Linked DNA regions of Oryctolagus cuniculus. The protein of the gene in region 2 interacts with the protein of the main gene of each other region in a pairwise test. Links are inferred from orthologs where the notes say so. Each region holds a gene or a part of one and is shown on either strand. Other genes may lie near its edges.

Region 1 (7,937 bases), on a different chromosome or scaffold from region 2:
TACCAGCCCTTCCTCCAGCTGAGATAGTGAGGACAGAAAGCAGGTAACATTTCCCTCAGGGATGGGAGCTGTGGGACCACCTTGCCCCATGCAAAGTGGGTAACTCCAATGTAGCTGTCAGGGGTTGAAATTTCACAATTTTGATAGTTTCTATAATTTGAGGGAGAAATGGGTAAGAAGGGAAATACAATACTGAAGAAGTGTTAATTTCTTTTTGGACATTCCAATCTTTATTGTAGAATGAAGTTTGGGATGGGGGGGGGGGTTGTTTTACCTGATTCAATTTTCACAGCTCGGCGTCTGAGGTAGCTACTGTTATTACTTCCATTTTCAAGCTCACAAAGAGGCTCAGCTAGGTAGAGCCACCTGTTCAGGAGACTCAGCTAGCAAATGACAGAACCAGACAGGAATGCAGGTGTCTCATGCTCCAGTCTGATCTCCTAACCACCACAATATACTGTCTCCCACTCTGCTATACTACTCTGACAGCTGAGTCAGACCCGTGCTTGCCATCTTATAATCAAGCTACTGCCTTGTCAAGGAGGCATCATGGTGGGGTGAGGGAGAAGATGAGGGAGTGGGACTTCAGGGTGACAGATTTTGCTTGTAGTACAGTTGTATGATGTATACATACTGCTATGAAATCAACAAATTGAATGTAGGCTTCTATCCCGGTACTGAATTATCTTTAGAGGTAGACTTAAAATATCCTGAGGAAGTTCAGTACGGGGTTGGGGGGGATAGCTCTCACCTGCAAACAGATATTAAGTGTGTAACCAACAGAACTGGCTGGTGGACCGCCTCCCCTCCCCCATCTTCCTGCAGACAGCTCCTCGGGCTGGGCTTGACTCACTCAACAACATTTCAGAAGAGACCAGCTCCCCGGATTGCCTCTAGAGGAAGCCACGGGGGCTCTGCTGACGCTGTGTCAGTGCCTGTGTCCTTTATTCCTCCTAAGAACTCTGCTGTGGAAACACGGTGCTTTTCATCCCGAAATAAGTATAGAACATTGCAAAGGAAGTGGAAATTGGCCATCTCTGGATGTGGCTGACTGAGGCGACAATGGAGATGATTCAGGTTTCATAGCTAGTTTGTTAAAAGACAACTCAAACACAGTCTTCCCACCCACCCCCACTTTCTTTCTTTTGGAGGACCTGGATGAAAATGTTTCCTGTTCACTCTCTACTCCGAGGCAGGAGTAACAGCTATAAAACTGGAATGTGTTCTACAGAGAGGCCACGCCTGTTACAGAAGTGTCCAACAGCATCCTTCCAGCATGATATAAATTGGGGACTTACGGGCTCAGACTTTTATTTCAGGGATGGTTTCCAAGGGGATCTAGGACTTGAAAAGACACCAAGTGAAGATACCAGGGGAGGGGCAGAGGCAGGTGGCTATTGGAAAAGTCATAGACTCAATCAGAATTAGCACAAAGGACAAGGGCTGGGAGATCTTGTGGACAATACACAGGGTTGAGACTACCACCAAGGAAAGGGAATGACAGCAGTAGATGAACAAAGGGAGAGGGTGGACATGAGGCACGCTTCTCTGAATTCGCACACCACCGGGAGTCTGCTCGTCTCTCCCTGAACCTTGAAATAGATGGACGACTCTGAATCAAATGCCACGCTTCTAGTTTCCAATGAAATTTCCCCTAGTCCCTTCGCCAAGGGCATTTTCTTTGGCCATCGCAGCCCCTGATTTGCCAATAGTCGGTGCACTCCAAAGGTGGAACGGATGGCAGGAACCCAGGAGGAGAAAACCGCTGACGTCAAAACGCTCTACAGAGAACCTCCCTCCATGCAGAGAAGCATCCGCTTGCTTTTAATGGCATGTGGTGCTACTGCCCCCCCCCTCAAGCCTGTTTCAGTGGGGGCCCCCTTCCTCCCACCCATAAATACTGGCTGCTGCCTGCAGCCTGCCATACTCTGTGTTTCTTGCCCACCCCTTCCTGAAATGGGACACCCATTTTTCCCAAAGACCTCTGTGAGCATCCCCATTGCCCTGGGAAAAGTTCTCCAGTGTGGGTTTGATCCTTCAGACATAATTCCACATCAGTCTCCCAACCTACACCTACTAGAAAGTTCAGATTTAGTTGTGCCCAGAACAGGCATTCTGTCCAAAGCACTTCCCCAGACACGTGTGCAATATACTCCCCAGTGCAGCCTGCCAGGAATAATACATTTTCCAAGCAGCCCCCTCTCCCATCCTGGACTGCTTCTTTATCTTCCATTGAACTGCTTGTCCAACCAACACCAGCAAAAGACAAGTTCTCGTCCTGCCTTGATTTTTCCCTGACACAGGGCACAGCCTTCTTCCTTCCACCCCCAAACTCCTCTAAATTGAATGATGTAGGAAAAGCATTGAGTTTTTTTCTGGCTTGGAATGCCTCTGTCTCCCCCAAACTTCTCTCTCTTCTACTCTGCATCTCCTCCTCCCTTTCTGCCTTGCTTCCATTTCTGCCTGTTTCCCCCTCCATCACACCTTTTTTGCCACCACCCAAGGATTCGTTCTCACCCCTAAGCTCAGTGCAAATAGATTCTTTTTGAGAAACCAAATAAAACTCTCCCAGGATCATCTTCACGATCTTGGAAGGCTCCTCCTTGACTCTGGAGCTCAGAGTCCTGGTTTTGGAAGCTGGAGAGGAGAGAATTCAGCAGCAGCCAGAGAGGCGTGGAGGAGGGTGCTGTTTGGGGTGTATTTGAGGGAACAGCATATGGGCTTTTTGACGAAACATTCGGAGCTCGCTAGTTTCTGAGCTAAGGATGGAAATGTGCTGCTATGTCTGAACACTGCCTGAACGGATTCAGTCCTTGTTTTTCACATCTTTACAACACCCCACCACCACCTCAGGTCTGCCGCTCCTTTGCCCTGGGGTCCGCTGAGCTCGGTGATAGCAAGAAAAGTTTCTCAGTCAAGTCCTACCCCCACCTGCACTGCTCACGGTAAGACGCCAAACGCCTTGCATAGGGACTATGGGTCCACTGAGTGTTGCTCCCCTCAGAGACGCGCCAGCTTCCGTCTCACGCAAGCAATGAGTTCCCGTGTTCCAGCGGGGATACCCAATAGTGATGAAAAGACAGGCATCCTGGCCCAGCTGCCTGCCTCCACCCTCAGGGCCCCCAGGGCTCAGGCCAGAGACCAGAAAGAAAGGGGGACCTTCAGGGTCCCCCCCCATGTTAAGAAGGAGGTCATTACCTTGGCAGTGGCTTGCGGGCCGTGATACTGGCGACAATGATGCTCTCGGGACGCGGGGTGGCCACCGCTTTGAAGGTTCCTCGCCAGAACTTCTCAAAAAGCTGCTTTTCGCCTTGCTGAACGCTCGCCATAACCAACCCCAAGCAGGCCGGGGCACCCAGGCGCTGTCCGAAGTGCTGAAACGTGGATTCCCCACGCGGGCACGCCCGGCTCCCGGCTTGGTGTGCTCCTGAAACCCAGAGTGGTGGGGTGGGAGAGCTGGGAGTTCAGGGCGGGGGATGGGACGCCCAGCCTGGGCAGGCGGTGGGGAAGAAAGGTTCGTCTGCCGGCTTTTCTCGCCCTCCGCCTTGGCGCCGGGCTGCTGCTCCGGGCTGGCGAGCCTCCGCGCGCCCCAGGAAGGGACGGGAAGCCTGGCTCTCTAGGCAGCACCGGGAGAGCAGAGGCGGCCGGGTCGACTGTGTGTGCGTGCGCGTGTGAGCTCCGGCGCGCCCGGGTTTTGTCTCTCGCACAATGTGACGTTGGACCAGGAGGCTGGTCGCGCGAGCTGCACTTTCCTCCCCCCTCTCCTCCTCTCCGCCAACCCCCTCCTCTTCTGGCTCAGCCTCCTGCCGCCATCTGCATAACAAAAGCCCGTAGGTCTTGGGAGGAGAAAGGGCGGGGCGTGCGCCTGTCACCAGGGCCCCGCGGCCACAGAGTTGCAGCGCTGACCCCACGGAGCAGCAATCCCGGCACAGCGACCCGAACCAGGCAGCAGGTTTCGCTTCTCAGCCCTCCCTCCTCCTCCATCACCGCGGGCCTCCTCCTCTAACCCCCATCCTGGCGTGCGCTCGGCGCCAGCCACCTCCCTTCCCAGCCCCTCCCCAAGTCCTGGAGCGGATCCTCCACCCAAGAAGGGGAAAGTAAAAAAACTTAAACCTACCCGCTCCTGCCGGCCCAACCCCACCCCACGCTTCTAGGAGGCACCGCCCAGGCCAGCAAAGGGGGAGGGAGAGCCCTGTGCTCTCTGCGCCTGGGCCGCGAGGTCCCCGCCACCCAGAAAGTGCCATTTGATGGACAATCCCTCGGCGACTCGGCTCCTCGCCATCTGCCGAGTGGGGACCCCGCCCGCAGAGGGGCGCGGCGCTACATCTGTGCCTGCGGCGCGGTCAAGGCTGTCTCTTTTGTGCCTCGCAGTGAGCCTGTCCAGAGTCCCTGCTGACAACTCCCTCCAAAGGGGACGGTGCCCCTCCCACCCTCGGGGGAGGGGGCGCTCCTGGGGAATTCGGCGGCTGCTACTTTCTTAAGCATGGTTGGGGGGCGGGGGTGGGTCTGGCGAAAGAAGCACGTTATGGAAAAGAAAGCGTTTAGGGGAAGCCTTGGCAATGGTGGGGAGACAGTTACTTTCCCGTCGTTCCTCCCCATCTTCCACCCGCTCCTGGCTGGAACCTGGGCCCAGCGAGCGGAGATCTAGGATCTGGATAAGCCCCAGCCACAGAGGATCGGCGCAGAATTTTTTCTTCGTTTTCCTTAGGGGTCTCCTGAAGACAAGGAGATCTTTCCAGGACCCCCTCAGCTCATCTTTCCCTTGAGCCTTTGGATCTCAGCCGAGTTGTTCCTTCCTCCCACCCGCCAGGCTGTAAACTCTGGGAAGGAGGTCTCGCTGAGTCTCAGAGGCGCCCAAGCCCCTGGAACCTGGTTCTAGCCACAGCAGTGAATAAAACCCATGCTTCCTGCCGGGGCACCAGTGGTAACTTTTGCAATCCTTTGGAAGAGAAGAGGAAAATAGATGCCAAGTAAGAGCAAGAGCAAGAGGCGGGGGGGGGGGGGGGGGCGAGGAGGAAGATGAAGAAACCTGGCGATTCTTAGCGCTGGTCTGGAAGAGCATGCGTGCGTTTGGGTTCCTCTGTGTTCAGGGTTTGTGGAGTCCCTGAGCGCGCCGCTCTGCACTGACCCCTTCTGGCCAACAACTAGAGATGCATTTGTTGGCTTCTCTGTTGGAGAGGTAGGGTCAGTCAGGGCTGGGATTCTTGGAGGCATCTAGGCGCGCCATAACCGTCCCTTCTTCCCCACCTCCCTCAACCCGGAGCCCTTGCTAAATAAATAAATAAATTCCCTCACTCAGGACCTGTTTCCCACTCTGAAGCTGATATCGCTTAAATGCAGTTGAGACCTGGGATATTTTAAACTATCCTTAGTTATTACCTGATGTTTAGGGTATGTACTGAGTCACTTGCAGTAGGTGGGATCTTGCCTGACAAGATCAATCAGCATCTCCAAGCCTAATTGCAAGAATCTTGACAAAGTTTCCATTTGCACAATTCTCCTTTTGAATCCCACAGCAGCCAAGTAAGCTGCTTCTTTTAAAAAGAGCAAGTCGGGCCAGCACTGTGGCACAGCAGGTTTTAGCTGCCCACCGCTGACATCCCATGGAAGTTCAGGTTTGAGTCCCAGAGTGCTCCACTTCTGGTCCAGCCCCCTGCTACTGTGCCCAGGAAAGTAGTAGAAGATGGTTCAGGTACTTGGACCCCTGCCAGGCACGTGGGGGATTTGGATTATAATTTGGACTACATTCCAAACTCTTGGCTTCTGGCTGCTGTGTCCATTTGGGGAGTGAACCAGTGGGTGGAAAATGGCTTTGTCTCTCCCTCCCGTTCTGTCTCTCTATGTCACTCTGCCTTTCAAATAAATAAAATAAATCTTTTTTAAAAAAATGGATGAGGAAGTTGAAGGGACTTGTCTAAGGTGATTCTGCAGGGAACAAAGGAAGTTTGTGAAAAAGTAGTTTCTGTTTTTGCTCGGGAGTGGGAATCTTTGGGACATTAGGCTTATCCCAGGGTGAGGCTGTGTGAAAACTCTCAGATGCCAATGAGCACACACTTAGAAGCACACAATGTTGGGACTTCTCAGTGGGGAGTCTCCAGGATTAAGCTCAGGGCTGGAAGTCAGGCTTCTTGGTTCAGATTCCAGCTCTGCCATTTCCTAGCTGTGTGATTCCAGAGGAGAGACTCGTCTATGCCTCAGTCTCTTTATCAGCAACGTGAAGCTGCTATAAAAAATAATACCCTGTGTTTAAATGGACTAGCTGCGAGGGTGGAAGGAGTGAGGCTGTAGAACACAGTTTACTAAGGAATACCTATCATCAGTTGAGTTAAGAGCGTGGCCCCTGGAGTCAGACACAATTCGGGTAGGATGCTCAGCCCTTGTTAGCTGGGTGATCTTGGCCTGGTAACTAACCCCTGCCTCAGTTTTCCCATCTGAAAAATGGAGACATGAGTACACATTTCCTGCGGCTTCTGTGATGATTAAATGCAACATTACTGGTAATACTCTGTACTGTTTCTGGTTCATACCAAGCACCCACTCAACGGCAGCTGTGACGGCTGCTGCTGTTGGAATCATCACCTGCTAGAATTCAGTTCAGTAATCATTCCCAGATGTCCAGGATCTTGGTCAGTCTCAGAGCTAGAGACAGAGTCCAGAGGTAAACGGACAGGGCTCCCTCCCAAAGGAGCTCAAGTCTGACTCATTTTCTGGTCTTTCATCTTTACCTTTTGTCCCCTTTCTACCTTATCAGTGACTTCAATTTTAGGTCTGGCTTCTCCAATGCAGCTTCAACTTCCATCTCCTCTATTTCTTGATGAAAATATAACCATCTCGTGTCTCACTCATTCAGGATAATTCTCTCATTTTATCAGGTGCAAGCCGGCCCACTGCATAACCTGAGACCTATCAACATGCCGGCTGGTGACTATACACACATGGCACAAATGCTGCTTTCCTCTGTACTCGGCCAGTGGAAGACATCACTAATCCATCACAGAACTCTTTAGGACCTAGCCTCAGAATCCTTCTCAAGAGACCCATGACTGATGGGTGGGAACTGGCCTCCCAGATGAAGTCATTTTGCCAACCACACTCAGAGGGAACTTCCTCACCAGGTTGGTATCCTTCTCTCATTTAAAAAGCAGGAGTCTAGGAGAAGCGATTCCAAGATTTGCAAATCGAAACACTCCAAAGCAGGAACTAATGGGATTCCTAGGCATTCTTCCCCCCGATCAGAAAAATAGCTGCTCCTCCTCCTGGGGCAGTTCAAATCTCACCTCACTAACAGCACTGGGTCACTTTGGGTAAATCCCTTCATCTGTCCGTGTCTAGGACATCTCTGAGTGCAATGGGGATAATCATTATCCACCAGCATCAGGGGACACCAGGAAACTTGGCAGTCTGCACCCATTTCTAAACGTCCAGTGAATTGTGAAAGATTCAAGTAATTATGGAGACAATGGAAAATATGATAATGAGACCAACAACAGGATCATGCTAACCCAATTCAAATCATAAGATTCTGTATCTCCTCATATAAATACTTAGGGAGGAAAAAAATGACTGCACTACTCAGGACTTACCAGTCGTCACTCTTTGAAAGTTCTACCTCGCATCTAATTTGAACCCCACACCGCTCTTTATTGTTTGTTCTTCTTCTGGAACACAGACATGCATTTCTGCGAATGTCCCTAGAATACCAGGGGTGAGCCAGGGATCCTCCTGCCCTGGTTGCCTAGTTCCAGAGATTCTACAAGACAAATATGTTCATTGCTGTCTGGTGTAATAACACTAGGTTCTCATCAAATATATGTTACTATATTCTATGTTCTAGGCACCATGTGTGCCAAACCCTTGATAGATATAATCCCAGTTCATCGGAGAAACAAACTTAGGAGAAAGGAAGAATTGTTGCCAATTTTTGCAGAGCTGGAAAC
Region 2 (7,446 bases):
GCATCAGCTAGTTCACTCCCCAGATGGCCACAATGGCCAGGGCAGTGCTACACCAAAGCAGGAGCTTCATAAGGGTTTCCCATGTGGGTGATAGGGGCTCAAACACTGAGGACATTTTCTGCTACTTTTTCCCAGGCCTTTAGCCTGGAGCAGGATCAGAAGTGGAGCAGCTGGGACATGAGGCAATGACCATGTGGGATGCTGGCATTGCAGGTGGCAGCTTTACCCATTAAATCACGATGCCAGCCTGAAACAGGAACTCTCATTCACTGTTAGTGGGAATGTAAATTGGTTCAGTCATCTATTAACGGTATTTCTTTAGGGGCCGGTGCCATGGTATAGCAGGTTAAGCTGCCGCCTGCATCCCATATGGGCACCAGATCAATTCCTGGATGCTCCACTTCCAATCCTGCTCCCTGCTGATGGCCAGGGAAAGCAGTGAATATGGCCCAAGTGTTTGGGCCCTTGCACCCACATTGGAGACCCAGATTAAGCTCCTGGCTCCAGGCTTCGATCTGGCCCAGCTTCAGCTGATGTGGCCATTTGGGGAGTCAACCAGCAGATGGAAAATCTCTAACTCTGCTTTTCAGATAAAATAAATAACCTTAAAACTCTCATATGATCTAGCATTACAGGGTATATATCCAAAAGATATAAATCAGTGCATCAAAGAAATGCCTAATTCATCATTCATTCATCACAAGTCAATTTATGGAATTAACCAAGGTGTCTGTCATCACATGAATGGATAAAAAAAAGTAGTACATATAATGGAATATAATTTAGCCATAAAAATAGTGAAATTGTGATTTTTTTGTAAGTAGATGGATGAACAGGAGGGCATCATGTGAGTAAAATTAGCCAGACATAAAAGACATACATATTCTCCCTTATACTTAAAAGTTAAAACTGAGTAACAAAAAACTCAATTCAACCTGAACAGAGAATGTTGGCTAGGAAGGTTAAGAAGGATAGATGCAGTTTAGATAAAAACAAAACAGGGGAAGCTGTATGTGTGGGCTCATTAATTATGACAAACATGCTAATATGGAAAGTAAATAATAAGGGAAGTTTGGTTAGGGATATTTCAGAACCATTTACATTATTACTTCACAATTTTTATAAATTTAAAATTATTCTGAAATAAAACATTTTTCAAAAAGTGAAGAATGCATAATTCTGTCTTACCTGCTTGCACTTCTAGAACGTCTGGCTGTACTGTAACTTTTTGGTGGTGTTTTGGAACGTTTTTTTTCTTTGTCTTCTTTCTTTTTGTCTCTAATAAATCAACAAGCACAATTCAAGAAGGCATTACAAAGTTCTGTTAACTGCAATTTAAATAGTGCTACAAATCAAAACAAAAGCAAAATTATGTCTAATAACACCTGTAAAAGCATGATTTACAATTCTGATAGAAAGTATTTTTAGAGATACTAGTTCATGTGGCAAAGGTGGGGTTCAAAAAGTTATGAAAAAATTGAATTAAAGTTTTAGTTATTTTGGTGTAAAACTGTGAATCCATGCAGACAGATCTTCTAAGAGTTCATGGAAAATGTGCATTATGAAACAACTATGGAATTCAGCTTTTTGTTTATTTTAGAGGCAGAGAGAGAGAGAGAGAGAGCGAGCGAGCTTTAATCTGCTGGCTCACTTAACAAATGCTTGCATGTATTCAGGGCTGGGCCTGGAGCCAGAAAGTGAATCCAGAGTTACCTGAGCCATCACAGCTACCTCCCAGGGTATGCATTATCAGGAAATTGTAATCAGGAATGGAGCCAGGATATAAATCCAAGCACTCCAACACAGGGTATGTTTATCACAAGAAATGTATTCACTGCTAGGGCATCCATCCTTTAATTTTTTGCACCAAACAATCCTGTATTTCCTTTTGGCACCGGTTCAACCCGGCTGCTTCGCTTCTGATCCAGCTCTCTGCTGTGGCCTGGGAAAGCAGTAGAAGATGACCCAAGTCCTTGGGCCCCTGCACACACGTGGGAGACATGGAGGAGGCTCCTGGCTCCATATCGACACAGCTCTGGCCACTGTGGCAAACTGAGGAGTGAACCAGTGAATGGAAGACCTCTCCCTCTCTTTGCCTCTCCTCTTTCTGTGTAACTCTTTCAAAGAAATAAATAAATATTTTTTTTTAATTGACAGGCAGGCAGAGTGGACAGTGAGAGAGAGAGACAGAGAGAAAGGTCTTCCTTTTTCTGTTGGTTCACCCCGCAATGGCCGCTGTGGCCGGTGCACCGCACTGATCTGAAGATAGGAGCCAGGTGCTTCTCCTGGTCTCCCATGTGGGTGCAGGGCCCAAGGACTTGGGCCATCCTCCACTGCACTCCCAGGCCACAGCAGAGAGCTGGCCTGGAAGAGGGGCAACCGGGACACAACCTGGCGCCCTGACCGGGACTAGAACCCGGTGTGCTGGTGCCACAGGTGGAGGATTAGCCTATTAAGTCGCAGTGCCTGCCTATAAATAAATCTTAAAAAAATAAAATAAATAAAATTCCGTTTTCCTGGTGTTTTACTCAAGACATCTTTCCAATGTACAAATATACTGTATGTCTTGAGAAAGAAACTAGGATTTTGCCTAATTTCTTTGTGTTTTGATGCTAAACATCAACAGTTTTAATAATTGTCTTGAGGCTCTTTAACAGTCTCTTATTTTCTCAGATGACTTTACCATTTTCTCTAACCACCTCCACTATCAGTCCAAAACCCATAATGTATTACCAAAATCACTCACATCATCAATATTCTTGTAAAACATACAGCCCAAGTTAACTTCTGTCACAGATGAAGCCATTCTATCTTTGTGTTAGTTTTTTAAAGATCAATTTATTGGGGGCTGGCGCTGTGGCACAGTGGGTTAACGCCCTCGCCTAAAGTGGCGGCATCCCTCATGGGTGCCAATTCGAGTCCTGACTGCTCCTCTTTTGATGCAGCTCTCTGCTGTGGCCTGGGATAGCAGCAGAAGATGGCCCAAGTCCTTGGGCCCCTGCACGCACGTGGGAGACCCGGAGGAAGTTCCTGGCTCCTGGCTTCAGATCGGCACAGCTCTGGTGGTTGCGCCCATCTGGGGAGTGAACCTGCGGATGGAAGACACCTCTCTGTTTCTACCTCTCTCTGTAACTGTCTTTCAAATAAATAAAAATAAATCTTAAAAAACAAAACAAAACAAAACAAAACAGACCCTTGGCCGCTGTCCTAGCCCAATAGGCTAATCCTCCGCCTGCGGCGCCGGCACGCCAGGTTATAGTCCCGGTGGGAGCGCCAGATTCTGTCCCAGTTGCCCCTCTTTCAGGCCAGCTCTCTGCTGTGGCCAGGGAGGGCAGTGGAGGATGGCCCAAGTCCTTGGGCCCTGCACCTGCATGGCAGACCAGGAGAAGCTCCTGGCTCCTGGCTTCGGAGCAGCGCGGTGCGCAGGCGGCTGCGCGCCGCTGGAGCGTCCACTGGGGGGTGACCCATTGGGAAAAAAAAAAAAAAAGAACTGCTCAAAAGAAATAAACAGGTATTTCATAAAACAAGAAACATAATCACCCCCCAAAAAAGATAAATTTATTTATTTGAAAGGCAAAATGAGAAAGAAAAATCTCTTCCATCATCTAGTTCACTCCCCAAATGCCTTCAACAGATAGGGCTGAAACAGGTTGAGGCCAGAGCTGGGAATTTCATACAGGTTTCCCACGTGGATCACAGGAACCCAAATACTTGGCCATAATCTGCTGCCTTCCCAGTGCACTGGCACGATGCTGGAGTGGAAGCAGAGTATCTGGGACTCAAATTGGCACATGATATTACAGGATGTGGGTATTAAAAGAGGTGGCTTAACCTGCTAAAGCACAATGCCTGCCCCACTTCCACCTTGTTTTGATGCTATATACTCTTGGACTATTCAGTGCTACTGTAATGAACTAGTATTAAAATTATCCTCAACTCAATTCTTTTTGGATTCCTTTACACTTGTTTTTATTGAAACAACATTTTTTCGCCCAAGGCCATGGGCCATCTTCCACCGCTATCCCAGGCCATAGCAGAGAGTTGGATCAGAAGAGCAGCAGCAGGAACTAGAACCGGCACCCATATGGGACGCCAGTGCTTCAGGCCAGGGCTTTAACCTGCTGTGCCATAGCGCCGGCTCCCTATTCCATAATTTTAGAGATCAAAGTATTCCTTCTGTTACTTCACGCCATTCTTCCCACCCTATGTTCTCTGTTTCATTGCTTCCTCTACTGGCCATCCTGTTCAATGATCATTTCTGTTTTTCCAAGTACTTATCGCCTAATTTCAAGATACTCTGTTTATTCCCATTCCAGTTTCCTCCAGGATCACGTGCAAACACAGTCTGAAAACAACCCTTTCTATGATCTGTCTCCTTACACTGAATTTATTTACTGGTTCTCCTATATAGAAATATTCACCATTTCAAAAACTCATGCTAACATTGCAAACACCATTCTCTACCTGAAACTATGCACCCCACAGAATCTTTTTAAATGGATGCAAACTGAATACTCAGGAGTCACTTCTCAATTAAGCCCCTTCCAACAACATTAGCCAAGTGGCAACCATCACCTAACAGTGGTTCCTTTTTAATTTTATCACACTCTCCAAATAAACAATAAACAGAATATTCTTAAGGGAAAGAATGTTGAATTCTTTTTTTATGATAATCATTTCTTTAAGCAACTTCGTTTTGATTAGCCTAATGAGATTGACTAATATACAACGAAAAGCCTATTATAGGCTGAACATTCAGTAGTCATACTAATTAAAAACAACTGACTTTGTATAAAAGACTGGTTACTGGAAGTATGTTTTAAGTAAAAATCAAACATTAATGTGGGGGACCTGCTTTAATGAATCCTCATTTTAACCTTCTACTGGTCCCAAATTATGGGATAAGAGATATTCTAGTATGGTTCAGTTTCTGGCAAACAAAGATACTTAATAAATGCTTTGAACTCATTGATTACTGGGATATACAAGGACAAATATATTACATATGGTCATATAGAGTTTTTCTTCTGAGTATAATACAAGAAATGCATGGCAGCAATAAATCCTTTGCAGTAGTTGAATGGAATGGAAGAAATTCTTGTCTAGTTTTAACTTCCCAAAATTCCTTGCCTCTTTTGTAATTTAAGTAGCACAGTATTTGGGTTCTTGGCAATTCTAAAAGTTCTCTTCTTATCCAATGTCAAGAGTCTGTTATACCTGGTTTTTGATGTGCTCCTTGACCTTCTACCTCTCTCTCTGGAATGAGATCTTCTCCGTCTTGGACTTTTGGATCGTCGTCTACTCCTTGACTTAGAATGTGATCGCCTCCTTGATCTGCTTCTTGATCGCCTAAATGTGTAAAAGGAAGCCAACAGATATATTAAGTTATAAACATTTCACTTAGTCCCAGACATATGAATTAACTGCCAATTAAGTGGGAATATTCCCTTCCATATAAAAAACATGTTGGTGCTGGCATCCTATATGAACACTGGTTCGTGACCTGTATACTCTGCTTCCAATCCAGCTCCCTGCTGATGGCCTGGGAGAGCAGTGGACAATGGCTCAAGTGCTTGGATCCCTGCATACACATGGGAGACGCAGAAGAACCTTCTGGCTCTGGACTGGTTCAGCTCCAGCTGTTGCAGCCATTTAGGGATAGAAGCAGATGGAAGACCTGTCTCTCCCTCTGTCTGTAAATCTGCTTCTCAAATAAATAAATCTTAAACAACAACAACAACAACAACAAAAAACCTTGCAATCTCAATACTTTTTTTTTTAGAGATTTATTTATTTCAAAGTCAGAGTTAGAAACAGAGAGAGATTTTCCATCTGATGGTTCACTCTCCAGATGGTTGCAACAGCCAGGGCTGCACCAGGCCAAAACCAGGAGCCTGACCTGCTTCTGGGTCTCCTACGTGGATGGCAGGGGCCCAAGTACTTGGGTCATCCTCTGCTGCTTTTCCATTATCAGGAAGCTGGATGAGAAGTGCAGCAGCCAGGACACGATGTCTATGTGGGATGCTGGACTAGAAGGTGGTGGCTTTACCTGCTACACCACAATGCTAGCAGCAACAATACCTTTAAATACTTAGAATTTCTCCTCTTTTTTACTGTATTGGTCAACTTGTCAGACCAGTCCTCTCATACCCAATGAACCAAGAACTCCAAAGTTAAAACTACTACTATATGACACACACACACACACACACAAAAGAAAGATATTGCACCATTTTCTATAACCGTACAATACTGAAAAACATCTTTTATTTATTATTACTGCAAGTTAAACCTTATTATTATTATTTTTTTTTGACAGGCAGAGTGGATAGTGAGAGATACAGAGAGAAAGGTCTTCCTTTGCCGTTGGTTCATCCTCCAATGGCCGCCGTGGCTGGCGCGCTGCAGCCGGCGCACCACGCTGATCCGAAGCTAGGAGCCAGGTGCTTCTCCTGGTCTCCCATGCGGGTGCAGGGCCCAAGCACTTGGGCCATCCTCCACTACCCTCCTGGGCCACAGCAGAGAGCTGGCCTGGAAGAGGGGCAACCGGGACAGATTCCGGTGCCCTGACCGGGACTAGAACCCGGTGTGCCGGCGCCGGCTCAAGTTAAACCTTATTTATCAAGTATCAAATGCTTACGCTTACTATGTGCTTGACAAATAGGCAATCATGAAGTCTAAAAAAAGTAAGTCCCATTATTATTCCTGTTTTATAGATGCAAACTACTTAGTATGTTATCATTTACTATTTCTAACTGTTGTTCTTTGAAATTCCACTTTTTATATCCATAGTCTAAAAAACTCTAATCATGTACAAATTGCCTCATTTACTCTCATTTTCTCATCAACATTACAGTCTCTATACCATCCTCTTTTCCATTACATCAAAGAAAGGAAATGTTTTTTTTAATCATCCTCATCCCCGGGGAACCATCCAATAAACACTTCTTGGTTTTCCAAGAACTTCAGTAGCACATTTAACCTATAGATGCTGTCACTGTTCTTCCCTACCCCCCACCTCCACCCCCTTTTAAAAGGTTTTATTTATTTGAAAGTCAAGAGTTACAGAGAGATTTTCCATCTACTGGTTCACTCCCCAAATGGCCTAAGAGCTGGGGCTGGGCAAGGCAAAAGTCACGAGCCAGAAACTTCTCTCTGGTCTCCTATGAAGGTACAGGGGCCAAAGCACTTGAAGGGAGCTAAATCAGAACTGGAGCAACTGAGATTCCAACCGGCACCCATATGTGGTGCCAGTGCCACAACACCGGCCCTCCTCCTTCAAGTCTTTGTTATTCTCAATCTTTTGCTTAGTCTTGATATCTTAATTTTTAGTGACCATTCAAGTCCTTTCTGTGGAATATTTCAAATATACCTAAACTTTCTACATGTTTTCATTTTCAGGGTACTAGAGTCGAGAAGTTCTAGAAATGGAATTGTGTTCAACTT

The links.
Region 1: the proteins of SRSF11 (region 2) and SRRM4 interact in binary tests that used the Homo sapiens proteins (3 or more experiments, as listed by UniProt). The link is inferred for Oryctolagus cuniculus from reciprocal best matches to the Homo sapiens genes SRSF11 and SRRM4.

What each region holds. Positions count from the first base shown.
Region 1 is NC_091452.1:15,121,858-15,129,794, reverse strand, and holds the start of SRRM4 (serine/arginine repetitive matrix protein 4), read right to left. Parts: upstream 4,459-7,937; 5' UTR 3,330-4,458; coding exon 3,199-3,329; intron 1-3,198. UniProt on the Homo sapiens protein: Splicing factor specifically required for neural cell differentiation.
Region 2 is NC_091438.1:102,137,205-102,144,650, forward strand, and holds part of SRSF11 (serine/arginine-rich splicing factor 11), read right to left. Parts: intron 5,350-7,446; coding exon 5,218-5,349; intron 1,279-5,217; coding exon 1,189-1,278; intron 1-1,188. UniProt on the Homo sapiens protein: May function in pre-mRNA splicing.